Pelodiscus sinensis: one gene and its partner. The protein of the gene in region 1 purifies or fractionates together with the protein of each later gene. This does not show direct contact. Links are inferred from orthologs where the notes say so. Each region holds a gene or a part of one and is shown in the gene's direction. Other genes may lie near its edges.

Region 1 (7,292 bases):
ATAGTGCGGATCATCATCCATTAACCTTCTGCCTGTTTCCAGGGATGCTATTTGGACCCGGGACATGTGGGACCTTCCCTCAGAGAAGCGGGCCCGTTGAATTTGACTCTGTGTTAAATACGTGTTGCTGGGGAAGGCTCAGAGAGCTGCGCTGCCGGCCCTGGAGACCCTGACGTGTGGGAACAGTTTGGCAGGGGCAGGAATAGTGCCCGGTCCCCACGCCCCCTCCTGCCCTGCCCCGCCCCAACCAGAGATCCATTTGGAGCCTGGGTCCCTGAGCCTGCTCCTGCTATTATCCGCCCTCGTCACAAAATCGCATGGGCCCAGATCCACTTCTGTGTCTAAAAGCCTGGTTCAGTCACCGCTGTGACTTACAAAGCCCCGCACTAGGCTGCCCTGAACTGTAGGTGCCCAGCTGGCACCGACCTCTCCGCTCCTGGGCGTGCGCGTTGCTGCCTCCTTTTAAGCAGGTGGCTGTAGCCTAGCTCCTGCCTCAGCGCAAGAGCCATGCCCAAGCTGGGGGAAGACAGGTGGAGGGGCACCCCACTCGCCTGCAGGGCCTGGGCTGGGCAGGGGCACTCAGAGGCCACCTACTGGCCTTGGTCCCATTCAGAATCTGGCCAGTGGAGGGGAAGCAGCACCTACCTTCTAACCGAGCCCACCGGTTAGACCTGGGCTCGGTTCCCCCTCTGCCTCATGGGGAGCCGAACACGATTATCCTACTTGTGCACCTGCAGCCACTGAGCTGGGGGACGTGCGGCGGGGAAGCCGGGTTCCTGCAGGCTCCCTTCCGTGGCCAGGCTCCATCCCTCTCGAGTGCAGACAGCACAGAGGGAGGGATTCGACCCAGGTCCCCCACGTCCCAGGTGAGTGCTAAAACCACTGGGCTAAAAGTTACGCAGAGAGGTCAGCCTGCTCCCCCTCCCCCGCTGCTACAGGAGGAGCAAGGCAGCCGCCTAATTCCAGAATAGGATCCTTCCCAGGCACGTATTGCTAGGAGGCAGGGACGTGACATTATATGCCACGTTCGTCAGGGATCTCATGATGACACGGCCATGGCATCAGTACGATGCATTTTGTGTAAGACAGGTGATGGGAGGTGTCACGGGGGGCTGTGATTCGTTGATTCTGCCTATTCTGTTTGTGTGCATGTGTCACTCCAGTCCCTAGCGTTAGGAACATCGACACTGGGTCTGTATGAAAATTGTGCTCACTCTGGGCGACACCCACAACCAGCCTTTCCGGGGCGGCATTGAAGAAGCCAGACAACGCTGACGGCCCATCAGCAAAGCCAACGGACTCTGGAAGAACCTCACCTTGCTATGACTGTCCCAGACCCTGGTACGTTATGGCTCAGCAAGGTACGCAAGGACTCTGGGCATCCATCTTGGGGTGGCAACGTTTCCCACAAGCTGAGTTTCCAGCAAAGGGTTCCTGCATGTGTCCAAGCGATATAAGGTGGAGAGAGACGTCTGAGGCTGTTCTTTACTCCCACACCAGAGGCCTCCCCAAACCCCTGAGGAACAAAGACTGACCTGGGGGCAGTGTGGGCCCCCAAGCTAACGGGTTTCTAGCCCATGTATGAAAACCTGAGGATTCCAAGCTGCAAAACTAGAGAATCTACAGCCTGGTTCTATCCTCAGCCAGGGCGAGAGTTTGCTAATTCGTATCCTATCGTTCCAGTATCCTAGGCCTGATTTGCGTTTTTACTAAGTGATCTGCTTTGATTTGTTTGCTGTCACTTTTAATCCCTTAAAAGCTTGGGTTTTAATCATTAATACACGTGTTTGATGTGCTAATCCAAACCAGCACATTTGGAGTGAAATGCTGGGAAATCTGAGCTCAGGGGGGCGGTTGCATTTTCTCTCCACATTGGGAGTGGGGGAACTCTATGAGCTGACACGGTACAATTCCCTGTGCGGTGCCACATGGCATCATGTGGGGTCTATACTCCAGTGAGGGGTCCTAAACTGGGAAGTTGTAGCCTCTCTATTGCCGCGCCATGCAGTGACTGGTCAGGGGCCTGCCTGTATTGCAGCTGGGTGTGCCCCTACCCGTGTGACCGCTGGAGGACGTGTAGCACCAGGAGCAGATCTGCAGCTTTTCACAGCAGCACAGTATGAGAAGCAGCTCAGGCTGGTGGGTCAGAGGGCTCAGCAGTACTCCAGCTCCTGGTGGCACCCCAAGGCCAACCTGTCCCAATGGGCACCTACCTGCAGCCCAGCCTAGGTGCCGTACTCCAGGGGAGGGCAAGGTTTAGCACACACCCGTCATTGGCATCTCCCGCTGTCTGGCTGAGGTAGCCCCCTCCCCAGCATACTGGCTTTGGTGGGTCCCATTCGTGGGTGCCTGTTTCTTCCCCATGCACTGAGGCCCTAACTCAGCTTTGTGGATCACCGAATGTTGGTCCTGTGATGGTTTAGGTCCCACGATGCTGACTCAGGCAATGCCAAAGTCCCTTTGTGGATCCAGGCCCTCATTTCTCAGTGGCAAAGTTCCCCCCCACCTAGGGATGCTGTGAGACCAATAGGTCAAGGCGTGCGAGGTGCCCGGATATTCCGGACACAGCAGCCGTGCAGTGAGCTAGAATACGGGACTTGGGGGGAGAAAGACAAAAGACTGAGGGGGAGTAGGGAGAAGGGTGGGGCATGCTGGAGAAGGGGTAGAGAGGGACCAGATGTTAGTACACAGCCGTATCGCTACGCTATAGGTTCTCTGACTGGGGAAAGGCTTAGCATAGGCTGGCTGGAGCTGAGTGGCAGACAAGGGCTGCGCAGCAGGAACGACAGTGAAACCGCCCAGAGCCCTTCTCATAGCCTCCGGGAAACACGAACCAAGCCCCCCAGCATCCAAGCCAGACAGGGAACCATCTGCTGCATGTCGCAGAGCAGGGAACTGGAGCATAGAGCAGCTAAGTGAGACACACACATCCATGGGCACTAGTCCTGGGGCGTATTAAGACAGATCCTAGATCAGTAAATCCCGGTGGCTCTGCTGCAGTCAATGGAGCAGTCACTGAAGATCTGAGCTGGTCAGGGCAGGGTGCTGCGTGAACCCACACCGAGCCACGGTCCCTTCCCTGAGGGCCCCAGATCAGCAGCTCCCAAACTTTTTACGAAGGCAACCCACAAACTGTGTTTTTGTTTTAATCACCCTCATCGCGTGTCACTTCCCCAGAACTGCAGCCCTATTCCTGGCCCAGTCAGAGGGGAGGCCACGGGGTAGCCTGGAGACTGACCTCACCCCACATGCAAGCCACAGCAGCAGCTCCCATCCTGTGGGACTGAGCCCAGGTCCTGTTTCAGATGTAGTACCAGGAAGTGCTAATGCAGGTTGAGCGTGGGCCAGACTCGCTCTTCAACTTACCCCCCCCCCCCCCCACTTCCCTCTACTCTGGGCTGGGATAGTGTATATTTACCTAAATCAGAGCCCAGGGATGGGGTAATCTGGTCTCGACTAGGGATGTTAGATATCGGTTAACTAAATAGTCAATTAACCTCATGAATTCTTATCAGTGACACGGCTAGTAGATAGCCCCCAGGGGCAGCGCCAGCAGCCAGTGCGCTCTGGCCTCACTCCCGAAGACCTCCCTGCCACTCGTGCTGCTGCCTCCACATCAGAGGCAGCAGTGCAGGGAGTCAGGGGGTCCAGGAGGAGAGCTGGTTTAAAAACCAGCTCCCCTCGCGGACTGGCTGCCTGTCGCTTTGTGCTGCTGCCTCTGATAAAGAGGCAGCAGCGTGGGGTGACAGCAGCCCGTCTAGGGGGGTGCCTGATCTCCTGGACCTCACATGAGCATGACCAGCCGGGCCGGGCCGATTCGCTGGTCTACGCAGCGCCGCGCCCCGGGGCGGGGACCTCTGCACGGGGCCCCCCTGCAGCCCCCGCGGGCCGGGCCGGGGCAGGCGCGCACGGAATCTATTAGCGGCCCCGGGGCGCGTGCGGGGGGCGGGGCTGGTCTCCCCTCTGGGGGGCGGGGGTCAGCGCCCCCCCCGTGCACGGGCCTCTCTCAGCCGATCGCTTCCGCTGTTCTTCCCCGCTGCGCCCAGCGCGGAGCCGCCTTTGCACCCGGGCCGGGCGCCCCCCGCCGGCTCGCCCCTGAGCCGCGCCCCCAGCGCGAGGCGGGGCCTGGCTACCACGTGACCGGATCCGGGCGGCTCCCTTTCCCGATTTCACCCGCATTTCCGGCCCTGCTTCCCCTTCCGCGGGGCGGGGCGTAGGCAGCAGAGCCCGCCGCACCCCGAGCCCCGCCTCCCCATGGCGCGTCGGGGCCGCGGCCCCGCCCCTCGCTGTGACGTGCGGCCCGGCCCCGCCCCCGAGCCCGCCGTCACAGCGGCGGCCCCGCCCCCGCGGAGCCCGGATGAGGCAGGCTTCGGAGCCGGGCAGGCAGCGGGGAGATGCTGCCGCCGTGACAGGGCTGCGCGCGGTGAGTGGGGGGCGCGCGGCGCGGGCGGGCTCCGGGCAGGGCGGGCCGGGCACGCGGGGGGGCTGACGGGGAGCCGCCCTGTGGCGGGCCCGGGGCTCGTGAGGGAGCGCGGGGCCCGGGGGCGGGGGGCGCCCGGCGGGGCCGCGGTTCCTGCTCCGCAAAGCGCACGGGATTGGCTGTAAACTGACAACGGGGCAGGTCCCGCCCCCGCCTGCCATTGGCCGGAGCCGGAGCCCTGGCGAGCTGCGATTAGTGACGGGGGCGTCACTCACCGGCGGCCCCCCCGGCACTGCCGGCCCCTCCCCGCGCCTCTGGCCGGCCCCTCGGCTGGCGCGTGGCAGGGGGGCCGAGTCGAGGGCCTAGGGCCCCAGTGCGGGCGGGGCGGTGATCAGCGGGGATGTGGCACCTGAGGGCGCGGGGTCCCCGGGGGGGGGGGGGGTCCTTGGGCTGCCAGGCGCTGAGGGCGCGGGGTCCCCGGGGGGGGGGGGGGTCCTTGGGCTGCCAGGCGCTGAGGGCGCAGGGTCCCGGGGGGGGGGTCCTTGGGCTGCCAGGCGCTGAGGGCGCAGGGTCCCCGGGGGGGGGGTCCTTGGGCTGCCAGGCGCTGAGGGCGCAGGGTCCCCGGGGGGGGGGTCCTTGGGCTGCCAGGCGCTGAGGGCGCGGGGTCCCCGGGGGGGGGGGGTCCTTGGGCTGCCAGGCGCTGAGGGCGCAGGGTCCCCGGGGGGGGGGGGGTCCTTGGGCTGCCAGGCGCTGAGGGCGCGGGGTCCCCGGGGGGGGGGGTCCTTGGGCTGCCAGGCGCTGAGGGCGCAGGGTCCCCGGGGGGGGGGTCCTTGGGCTGCCAGGCGCTGAGGGCGCAGGGTCCCCGGGGGGGGGGGTCCTTGGGCTGCCAGGCGCTGAGGGCGCAGGGTCCCCGGGGGGGGGGTCCTTGGGCTGCCAGGCGCTGAGGGCGCAGGGTCCCCGGGGGGGGGGTCCTTGGGCTGCCAGGCGCTGAGGGCGCGGGGTCCCCGGGGGGGGGTCCTTGGGCTGCCAGGCGCTGAGGGCGCGGGGTCCCCGGGGGGGGGGTCCTTGGGCTGCCAGGCGCTGAGGGCGCAGGGTCCCCGGGGGGGGGGGTCCTTGGGCTGCCAGGCGCTGAGGGCGCAGGGTCCCCGGGGGGGGGGGGGGGGTCCTTGGGCTGCCAGGCGCTGAGGGCGCAGGGTCCCCGGGGGGGGGGGTCCTTGGGCTGCCAGGCGCTGAGGGCGCAGGGTCCCCGGGGGGGGGGGGTCCTTGGGCTGCCAGGCACAGGGACTGCATGATGTTCAGGGCCCACAGAGATGGTGCGGCGGTTGGAGGAGCTGGGGCTGTGCTCACATGACTTCAGCAGTCTGGGCAGCTGAGATGATGCTGACTACAACTGACTGGTGGGTTGGGACAGAGGCTCCTGTCAGCTGTCTGTGAGAGAACCTGCTCTTAGTGGATTTTTCTCAATGGTTATCTTTTGTGATGCTGAATGTGGTTTGTCCCTGCTGGTTAGTCACCTTCATGTCCACTAAACCTATGGTTAAAGCCCACTTTCAGGATTACTTTTTTTGGTGAAGGCAATCCTCAGGGCCTGGAAAGCACTGTTGGGCAGTAGGGTTGGATTGCCTTTCTCTCTCTGTCTTTCTCTTTCTCTCTCTCCTATATATTGCTTGCCAAAAGTGGTAGTCTCACTGCTGTGTATGGAAAAAGGGAAAGGTCTGCAAAATGTTTGCTGTCAGATGGTTGCTAGGATACATAAATATGCTCATGATGTCAAATGCACTTAAGTCCAGTGAGTCATTGAAAATACTATTTCTGTTCCTGCAGAGAAAAGGGCAGGTTTAGGCGTTAACTTGGTCCATTCTTCAGGAGAGACTTTTCACCAGGAGAGGGATGCCCTGAAAAGCTTAAACTAAGTATCCCAAATCTGGTGTGAGGCACGTGAAGGCAGTGGGAACAAGCAGCTCTTTGCTGAAACCCCAAGGAAGGATCCAACTTCACAGCTTCTTCCCACACACACGTTGTGCCGTATTCCAACAGTCATTCGTCCGCCTAGCTAGGGCTCTTGCAGTCTCTGTCACTGCTGTTCCTTATGAGAGATTGCTGGTGATTGAAATTGCCACTTGTCTTCCTCCTCCCCTTCCCTTTGCTGGAGCATGCTGCCTCTGCAGTGCATATTACACTCTGCTAGTCAAGGAATCTTGTGATTTCATACAGGTGAAGAGATTTCTGTGCCCATCTCTGGGCAGAATGTTTGTATGTTGTAGTATGCACTTGTGGTTAGAGTTGTGTGTCTGAAATAGTCAGTTATAATCGATTTCTGATCTCTATTTAATTTGTCCTTGTTCAGTTTAAAACATATAAAATTCCCTTTTTGATTTGTGCAACTATATACTTAAATTGCACTGACATAACTACAATAGATCTGTCACCTTGGTTGTTTCTGATCTGTACACTGTAACTATGCTATTAATATGAACTAGAGGATGGTCCAGTTTGGATAGAATGAAAATTGTGCTTTAAAGGTCCAGTTCACCTGATGGAAACAGATTCTGGAGTAGTCTGGAAAATAGCTCCTGACGATAACAGAAAATCTTCATTGTTGCAAAAGGGGATGTCTTGTGTCCACAGTTACTTCTGTGTTCTCTGTCTCTTGTAAATATTAGCTGCTTAAAGATTGACTTAGACTTGTGGGTAGAAGATCAACAACTCTTTCGCCCCCAATAACACAGTCAGTCACATGTTTCTTGCTACAAAATAGTTAAGAATCCCTGGTGTACTTGGCATAACAAACCATTCTATCTCCAACTTCTCAAGGTTAGAGAAATTGTTCCCTTAATAACTTTTTGGTATTGATATCCATTTGGGAGGTATC
Region 2 (7,500 bases), on another chromosome or scaffold:
TATAGCATAAAGAGGTTGTTGGGTCAACTGTTGCTGTGTATCACATTGTTTATCATAATAACCTAATGTGATTTTTTTTCATTAATATTTAGTATTTCAACAAACTACAGTAATAAACTGTAAAAAAGATTGTCAAATTATTATTCATTTTAAAATATAGTTGTATATGGACTTCATAAATATAAGAAACAATCAAATGTTGGACCTTCCACACATGACCGTATCATTTATATTTTACAAGTGTGCATGTGATAGAGAATGGGATATAGACAGACATTGGGGCTACGTCTACACTGGCCCCTTTTCCGGAAGGGGCATGTAAATTTCACTAGTCGTCGTAGGGAAATCCGCGGGGGATTTAAATATCCCCCGCGGCATTTAAATAAAAATGTCCGCCGCTTTTTTCCGGCTTTTAAAAAAGCCGGAAAAGAGCGTCTACACTGGCCCCGATCCTCCGGAAAAAGCGCCCTTTTCCGGAGGCTCTTATTCCTACTTTGAAGTAGGAATAAGAGCCTCCGGAAAAGGGCGCTTTTTCCGGAGGATCGGGGCCAGTGTAGACGCTCTTTTCCGGCTTTTTTAAAAGCGGGAAAAAAGCGGCGGACATTTTTATTTAAATGCCGCGGGGGATATTTAAATCCCCCGCGGATTTCCCTACGACGACTGCTGAAATTTACATGTCCCTTCCGGAAAAGGGGCCAGTGTAGACGTAGCCTGGAGGTTTAATCATTTTATTACAGTGCATTTTTTTACATTATATTTACATATGCTTTGGCCAAGCTTGTACCTAAATCTCAGATTTGTGTGACAAAGGGAATGAGAAGTGTTTTAATATACTGGCTATTATTCATATTTCTGTCATTGCCCTCTTTTGGATGGAGTACAACATCTCAGATCTCTCAAGTTGAGGTGGGAGAGGTCCAGGTTGGATATTAGGAAAAACTATTTTACTAGGAGAGTGGTGAAGCACTGGAATAGGTTACCTAGGGAAGTAGTGGAGTCTCCATCCCTAGAGATTTTTAAGTCTCAGCTTGACAAAGCCCTGGCTGGGTTGATTTAGTTGGGACTGGTCCTGCCTAGGGCAGGGGGCTGGACTTGATGACCTTCTGAGGTCTCTTCCAGCTCTATGGTTCTATGATTCATCCATTTCTGAAGATTCATTATCTTGCTTCAAAATGCTGACCTAAAAATACATTTAAAGGCCTAAAACCACTGCTGTTTGAACTCAGAAGTCGAGAAATTTAGAATTCAGGGAACTTTAAGAACCTGGCATCTCTCCTATTGCATAGTCACCTTAGACATCATTAATTATTTAGCTAAATGATTGTCTAATATCACATGGCTGAACATAACTACTTGCAAAATTTTACAGGTATTAATTAAAAGTGAAGATACAGAATTGGGACAGACTGTGGGTGATGATGAAAAATGTATTGTTTGTTATGAATTGATGCTGAAATAGATATTATTAATAATGTTTTCTTGACTCTCCTTTAGAGCTTGTAGTCTAAATTAGATCATGAATTCAACAAAAATGACAAGCCATATTGTGCAGAGGTAGAGAAGGTAAGAAATCAGAGAGCACAAGGAGTAGAGGGCTCACTGCGTTGATTAATTTTACAGGTTTCTGACTGGTTCCTAGGTTTGGTAATTCCCAGGAGCACCCCTAAAGTACCTTTGTAAAGATAGGCACAACAACAACATTTATTTCTCTCCATCCCTCAATATAATAGCTGTTTTATTATACATAAGCAATTTTATTCTTAAAGTTCCTTTCAAAATTTTGTATGATAGACTCCTATAGGGGTATGTCTACACTACCCTCCTATTTCGAAATAGGAGGGTAATGTAGGCATACCGCAATTGCAAATGAAGCCCGGGATTTGAATTTCCCGGGCTTCATTTGCATAAGCCGGGTGCTGCCATTTTTAAATCCCGGCTGGTTCGAACCCCGTGCCGCGCAGCTACACGCGGCACGAACTAGGTAGGCATTCCACGAGGAGTAACGGTAGTTCGTGCCGCGTGTAGCCGTGTGGCACGGGGTTCGAACCAGCCGGGATTTAAAAATGGCGGCACTCGGCGTATGCAAATTGCGGTATGCCTACATTACCCCGCTAATTTGAACTAGCGGGGTAGTGTAGACATACCCCTACTGACTTCACTGGCAACCTGTTGCTATTTATTAATTTGTTTTCTTCTGTACCTTCCCTTTTGACATTGAATTGTGGCATCGTTAGGATAGAGTAAGTGTCATCTAACAATGAAGCTATAGACTTGATGTAACCACTTCCTATTCCAAGGCTATGTCAACACAGCAGCATTATTTTGGAATAACTTATGCTATTCCAAAATAACATAGTCTGCATCTACACACAAGCAATTATTTAGACATAATGTAGAAATAATGTTGAGCTGGAGGACTTCTTACTCCGACTCCTGTAACCCTCATTGTATGAGGAGGAAGGGAAGTTGGGGGAAGAGTACTCTATTTTGAAATAACTGCTGTGTAGACGGCACCAAAAGTTGAAATAAATTATTTTGACTTAAGCTACACAATTAGCTAGTTTAGCTCTGCTGTGTAGATGTGCCCCAACTGACCTGGATGTAGCACATGTCCCTATGCTGAAGCACAGGGGTAGGACATATAAAAAAGTGCATCTCTATGGGGATTGAGGGGCTACGTCTAGACTACATCCCTTTTTCGTAAAAGGGATGTAAATTAGACGTATCACAATTGCTAATGAAGCGGGGATTTAAATCTCCCATGCTTCATTAGCATAAAAATGGCTGCTGCTTTTTTTCGGCAAGGAGCTTTGCCGGAGAAAAGCGCCAGTCTAAACGCTGATGTTTCGGGAAATAAAGCCTTTTCTGAAAGATCCCTTATCCCTCTTGAAATAAGGGATAAGAGATCTTTTGTAAAAGGCTTTATTTTCTGAAAGATCAGCATCTAGACTGGTGCTTTTCTCTGGCAAAGCTCCGTGCCAAAAAAAAAGCGGCAGCCATTTTTTTGCTAATGAAGCACTGGAGATTTAAATCCCCGCTTCATTAGCAATTGCGATACATCTAATTTACATCCCTTTTACGAAAATGGGATGTAGTCTATACGTAGCCAGGGTGTATTGTGGTTTTAAGGAAGTGTGGTGTGAGCAATTGCTGAAACATGGAATTGTATTAATTTGTAACAAATATAATGGCATTTCAAAAAAATATATAACAGCATTTAGGTTAATAATGTATCATGTATCTTTTGAAATGGCCAGTAAAGTGTCACTAAACACTACATCTTTGACCTGGAAGACCAAAGAGTGTGGACTTGGTTTTCCTGTTTTTGACAAATGCCTAATACATCTTCAGTGTTACCATAATAACAATAAAAGTAGACAGATATTTCTCTACTGCTATCATGATGAAATGGTCTGGCTTTGTCCATTCAGGAACATGGCATGACAGTAAAAGACCACTTTGACCCTATTCCTGGACAGCTTCTGAAGAAGGAAGCAGCAAAAAGGGTTCTGCTCTTCAGATGGTGTCTCAAGTTGAACACCCCAAAATTGAGGCACCTCAGCTTGGTACTTATATTTCATATCTTAACTAAAGCCTATTTCCAGGTCTTCCTGTCCAAGGCACAATAGCTTTTAGGAGAACTTAAAGGAAAGAGAGAATCTGTGGGGTGTGTGATATTTGCTACCTTGCTCCAATTGGGGACCACTGTGCCTTCAACAGCAACTGGCCTACCTCAGTCCCTCTGCAAAGCTTTGTTTTTGTAGGTGAGGTTTGTGATTTGGTGCAGCCCAGCTGAATGTGACTAACTAGTAGGGGGCACGGTGAGCCTCTGATGCCTTTGTGCTGGGGTCTGGATGTGGACATTCTTCAAGCTGTGTGCCAGATGCAGCAAATTCTTCTGCCCCATTTGCCCTTGTGCCTTTGTATTGTAGGGCAAACATATGTTCTTTTGAGTTTCCTGTAATATTTGGGGTCACTGACAGGATGTGCCCCTTCCCAATGACACAGGCTGGGTGTGGCCTAACTCTCCTGCTTTGAAATGGTGGGCAGCCCTGGTGCCTGTCATAGGCATGACTAATGGGGCCTTTCCACTCAAGTTGCAGACTAGGTGTCCCTGTGTCAGCCTGGATGTGACTTGTGCTACTGACTCGAGCAGCACAAATGACCCTGATGCTCCTGAATGTGACACTTTCCCCGGTCCCTTTTGCCCTCCGCCCCCCCCCCCCCCCCGAGTCCCTAGCGCCAGGGCCTGGCAGGGATAGCTACCGCCCCCTCCCGCCGCCCCCCGTGAGTGTGTCTCGGGGAGGGGCTGCCTCTCTCGCTGAAGATGCGCGGGGCTGGGCTGCAGGGAGGCGGGGAGATGTCAGTGCCAGGGGCGAGGAGGAGGAGGGAAGCGGCGGTGCCCGGGAGGAGCTTGGCCAGCGCGAGGCAGCGCATTTCCCCAGCCGCAGCAGCAGCGATCACGCTGCAGAGAGGGGCACCACCACACAGCGCAGCGGCAGCAGCCATTGGGGAGTCAACCTGCCGGGGAGCGCCGGGCTCTGTCCACCTCCTCCCAGCTGCCCTGGCCGGGGAGCGCTGCGCCGAACCGCTCCACAGCTGCCCGGGAGCCCAGCAAGGTAAAGCCTGTGGAGGGAGGCGCGTGTCTCTGGGGGTACCACCCGCAGCGTCACCTGCCCGAGCCTGGTGCTCTGAGGTGGGGAAGGACGCGCCCGGGATGCCGAGTGTAAAAGCTGGCAGGGGGCAGGGGGCCGAGAAACGCTCTCTCTTTGCTCGGCTTTTCTAGCACTGGAGAAAGCAGCCAGCCTGCATGGAAAAGGGCGGGGAAGACAGGCACTGAAAACGCCCCCCCCCCCATAGGAAACAGCTCGGGACCGCTCTGCGGTTGCTGACAGGATGCAAAGTGCTCTGGTGACCGCAGCTGAGTGACGCTCTCCTAAATCGGAGGGTCCTCGCTCCGTCTGGACAAAGCCCGGCACCTTTCAAACTAGAGAGACCAGACCTGCTAGCGGGGGGATGCACTAGCTGGCCTCCCAGAGCGTTTCACCAGCCCTCTCGCCTGTCTCCCTGGTCTCGTCCCAGTTTACAGCCATGCCCATTCCTATTAGTGCATCGTCAGAGCAGGTGCCTCCTACTAGGCGGGGTGGGGTGGAGAGGAGAGGAGAGGCTATGGTGCTTGGTTTTCGTGTCAGCTCTGAAGAGGTTAAATCAAAGCCGGTTCCTGTGTTTAATTTCCTGTTTAATAAAAGCAACCACGGACTTACTTAAATCCACCTCGGCCTGCAGAATTAATATTCAATCTTCCCTTATCGCTAGTTTCACAGCAGGGTTAATAAAGGATGGACTGAGAGGCCATTTTCCTATGATTAGTGAGTTTAAATCAATTTCTCAATAAAATGCTTTTATAGCTATGTCCATCCTCTGCCCGGAATTCCCTAAGATCAGCAGTGATAGAAATGTAGCCCTGTTAGTCTGGTGTAGCTGAAGATCAGTAGGCACCATATATATTATTGATTGGAAAAGCATAGATATAACAAATGTGCCATGCAGTAATACTCTATCCAGAACCCTCTCAAAAGACAAGAAACCCACACTTTTAAATTATCTCAGGCCTTGCCCTGGTATGAAAGCCATTTTTTCCCTGTGCCTTGGATTCATTTTCATTTACCAGTATCACTTTTAAGATCCAGTGTGGAAAACCAGACTGAAGTAGCATATGATTGGTTAATATTAATACAGAGTCAAGATCTTCTACCTTCAATACTTTATGGCCTATAGAATCTAAACAGATCAAAATATTGTAACCTAATGCATACTAGGGATGTAGTGGAAAGGCCTGACATGTGCTAGGCTTTGGACACTTGCACCTAGTAATTTATCTTGACGATCTTTTTCTTAGATTTCCTTTACATGTGAGGAAACAAAATGACCTAGAGAACAGGCTCAACTTTTCTATAGTGCAATTCACCCTTTGTCAGGGGTGAAAATGTTACCAATGCTACTGGATGGATTTCTGTCATTGTTATTCACCTGTTTCTAACATGCCACCTTTTTAAGAAAATGGGATATGCTCCTTCCAGAGGCGGCACCTTCCAAATCTTACTTACTCACTTTTAATTGCCCTTTCATGCTCAGAAGTCCAAACAGGAACACCTTTCACCCTGCCCCCAAAATCCTCAACGGGGAGCAATAAAGCTCAGTGCTGTTCCTCTGAGCCTGAGCAAGAGTGGGTTACTCAATCACAATTTGGAGTGTCAGCTCCCCCAAGGGCTGAAATTCTGCCTCGGGGAGCATCTGCTGTGCTCCCAAGGGAACAAGCTCATACCCAGATCCAGCATGTTACCCCTGGATCATGGGGGCTGTCCTCACTGCATACATTTTTCACCATTTAAAAAGCCAAACTTCTCAGTGGAGTTCTACCTCTGTGACACATTCCCTTCCACTTCCCTTCAACCCATAAAAGTGTCCCAGGAGGGCTCTGTGGAGTGTAGAGAGAAGCACACGGTGGGACCAGCTGCTTTCCTGTGGACTCTACTGCACATAAAGAGTAGTAGACACCAACACAAGTTAATATAGCCTGAATCTGAATTACCTTTCCTGCTTTCCTCCCCAAACTGTGAGAACCTGCTTTCTAAGGACAGCTGCAGTAGAGAGAGACCCAGGAAGAGGTGGGGTTACAATGGCTGTGGGAAAATGGTAGCTGGGTGGTAAAAGTGTAGGTGCACTCAAGCTTGTGTAGATCTTCATGATACGACTGACCTTAGAAGTAGATGCTGATATTTGAGGTATCAGCATTGAGTATGTTGAGGAAATACCCTCGACATGAATGGAGCAGGTCACACTTGTCAGATCTATTGTTTCAGGCTCTCTGCTAATGCAGTCAGGCTGGCACTTCTTTTACATTTTCAAGGGTTTCTTTGCAAACACCGAGAGATGGGACTGTGGAGGGAAACTTAGCCAAGGTCTGCACTAGGAGTCAGAGGTGACATGTGGGGTGAACAGATGGGGTCACTTGCCCCTCCAGATTTCTGCCTTCCATTTGGCCTTGCTACCTGAAGGGCTGTTGTAGCAGGGCAGATTCCACTCAGGCACCTGCCACTTCTAGGTGCAGGCGGGTTCAGCCCACTTGACTCCTAACAACTCAGTGCCTTCCCTTCTCTGTGTTCTCTAGTGGAACATGAAGCAGCTGGTCAAATGGGACTGTAGAATCATAGAATCATAGAATCATAGGACTGGAAGGGACCTCGAGAGGTCATCGAGTCCAGCCCCCTGCCCTCAAGGCAGGATCAAGCTCCGTCTACACCATCCCTGACAGATGTCTATCTAACCTGTTCTTAAATATCTCCAGAGAGGGAGATTCCACCACCTCCCTTGGCAATTTATTCCAATATTTGACCACCCTGACAGTTAGGAATTTTTTCCTAATGTCCAATCTAAACCTCCCCTGCTGCACTTTAAGCCCATTACTCCTTGTCCTGTCCTCAGAAACCAAGAGGAACA

What was found. Proteins that work in one complex are often made in the same cells at the same time.
Region 2: the proteins of NDEL1 (region 1) and DYNC1I1 purify together in Homo sapiens (affinity purification with western blotting; 3 studies listed by BioGRID and IntAct, with this or other methods). This does not show direct contact. The link is inferred for Pelodiscus sinensis from reciprocal best matches to the Homo sapiens genes NDEL1 and DYNC1I1.

What each region holds. Positions count from the first base shown.
Region 1 is NC_134730.1:1,649,658-1,656,949, forward strand, and holds the start of NDEL1 (nuclear distribution protein nudE-like 1), read left to right. Parts: upstream 1-4,275; 5' UTR 4,276-4,357; coding exon 4,358-4,423; intron 4,424-5,667; exon of another isoform or gene 5,668-5,817; intron 5,818-7,292. UniProt on the Homo sapiens protein: Required for organization of the cellular microtubule array and microtubule anchoring at the centrosome. May regulate microtubule organization at least in part by targeting the microtubule severing protein KATNA1 to the centrosome.
Region 2 is NC_134712.1:211,287,584-211,295,083, reverse strand, and holds the start of DYNC1I1 (cytoplasmic dynein 1 intermediate chain 1), read left to right. Parts: upstream 1-4,486; 5' UTR 4,487-4,619; intron 4,620-7,500. UniProt on the Homo sapiens protein: Acts as one of several non-catalytic accessory components of the cytoplasmic dynein 1 complex that are thought to be involved in linking dynein to cargos and to adapter proteins that regulate dynein function.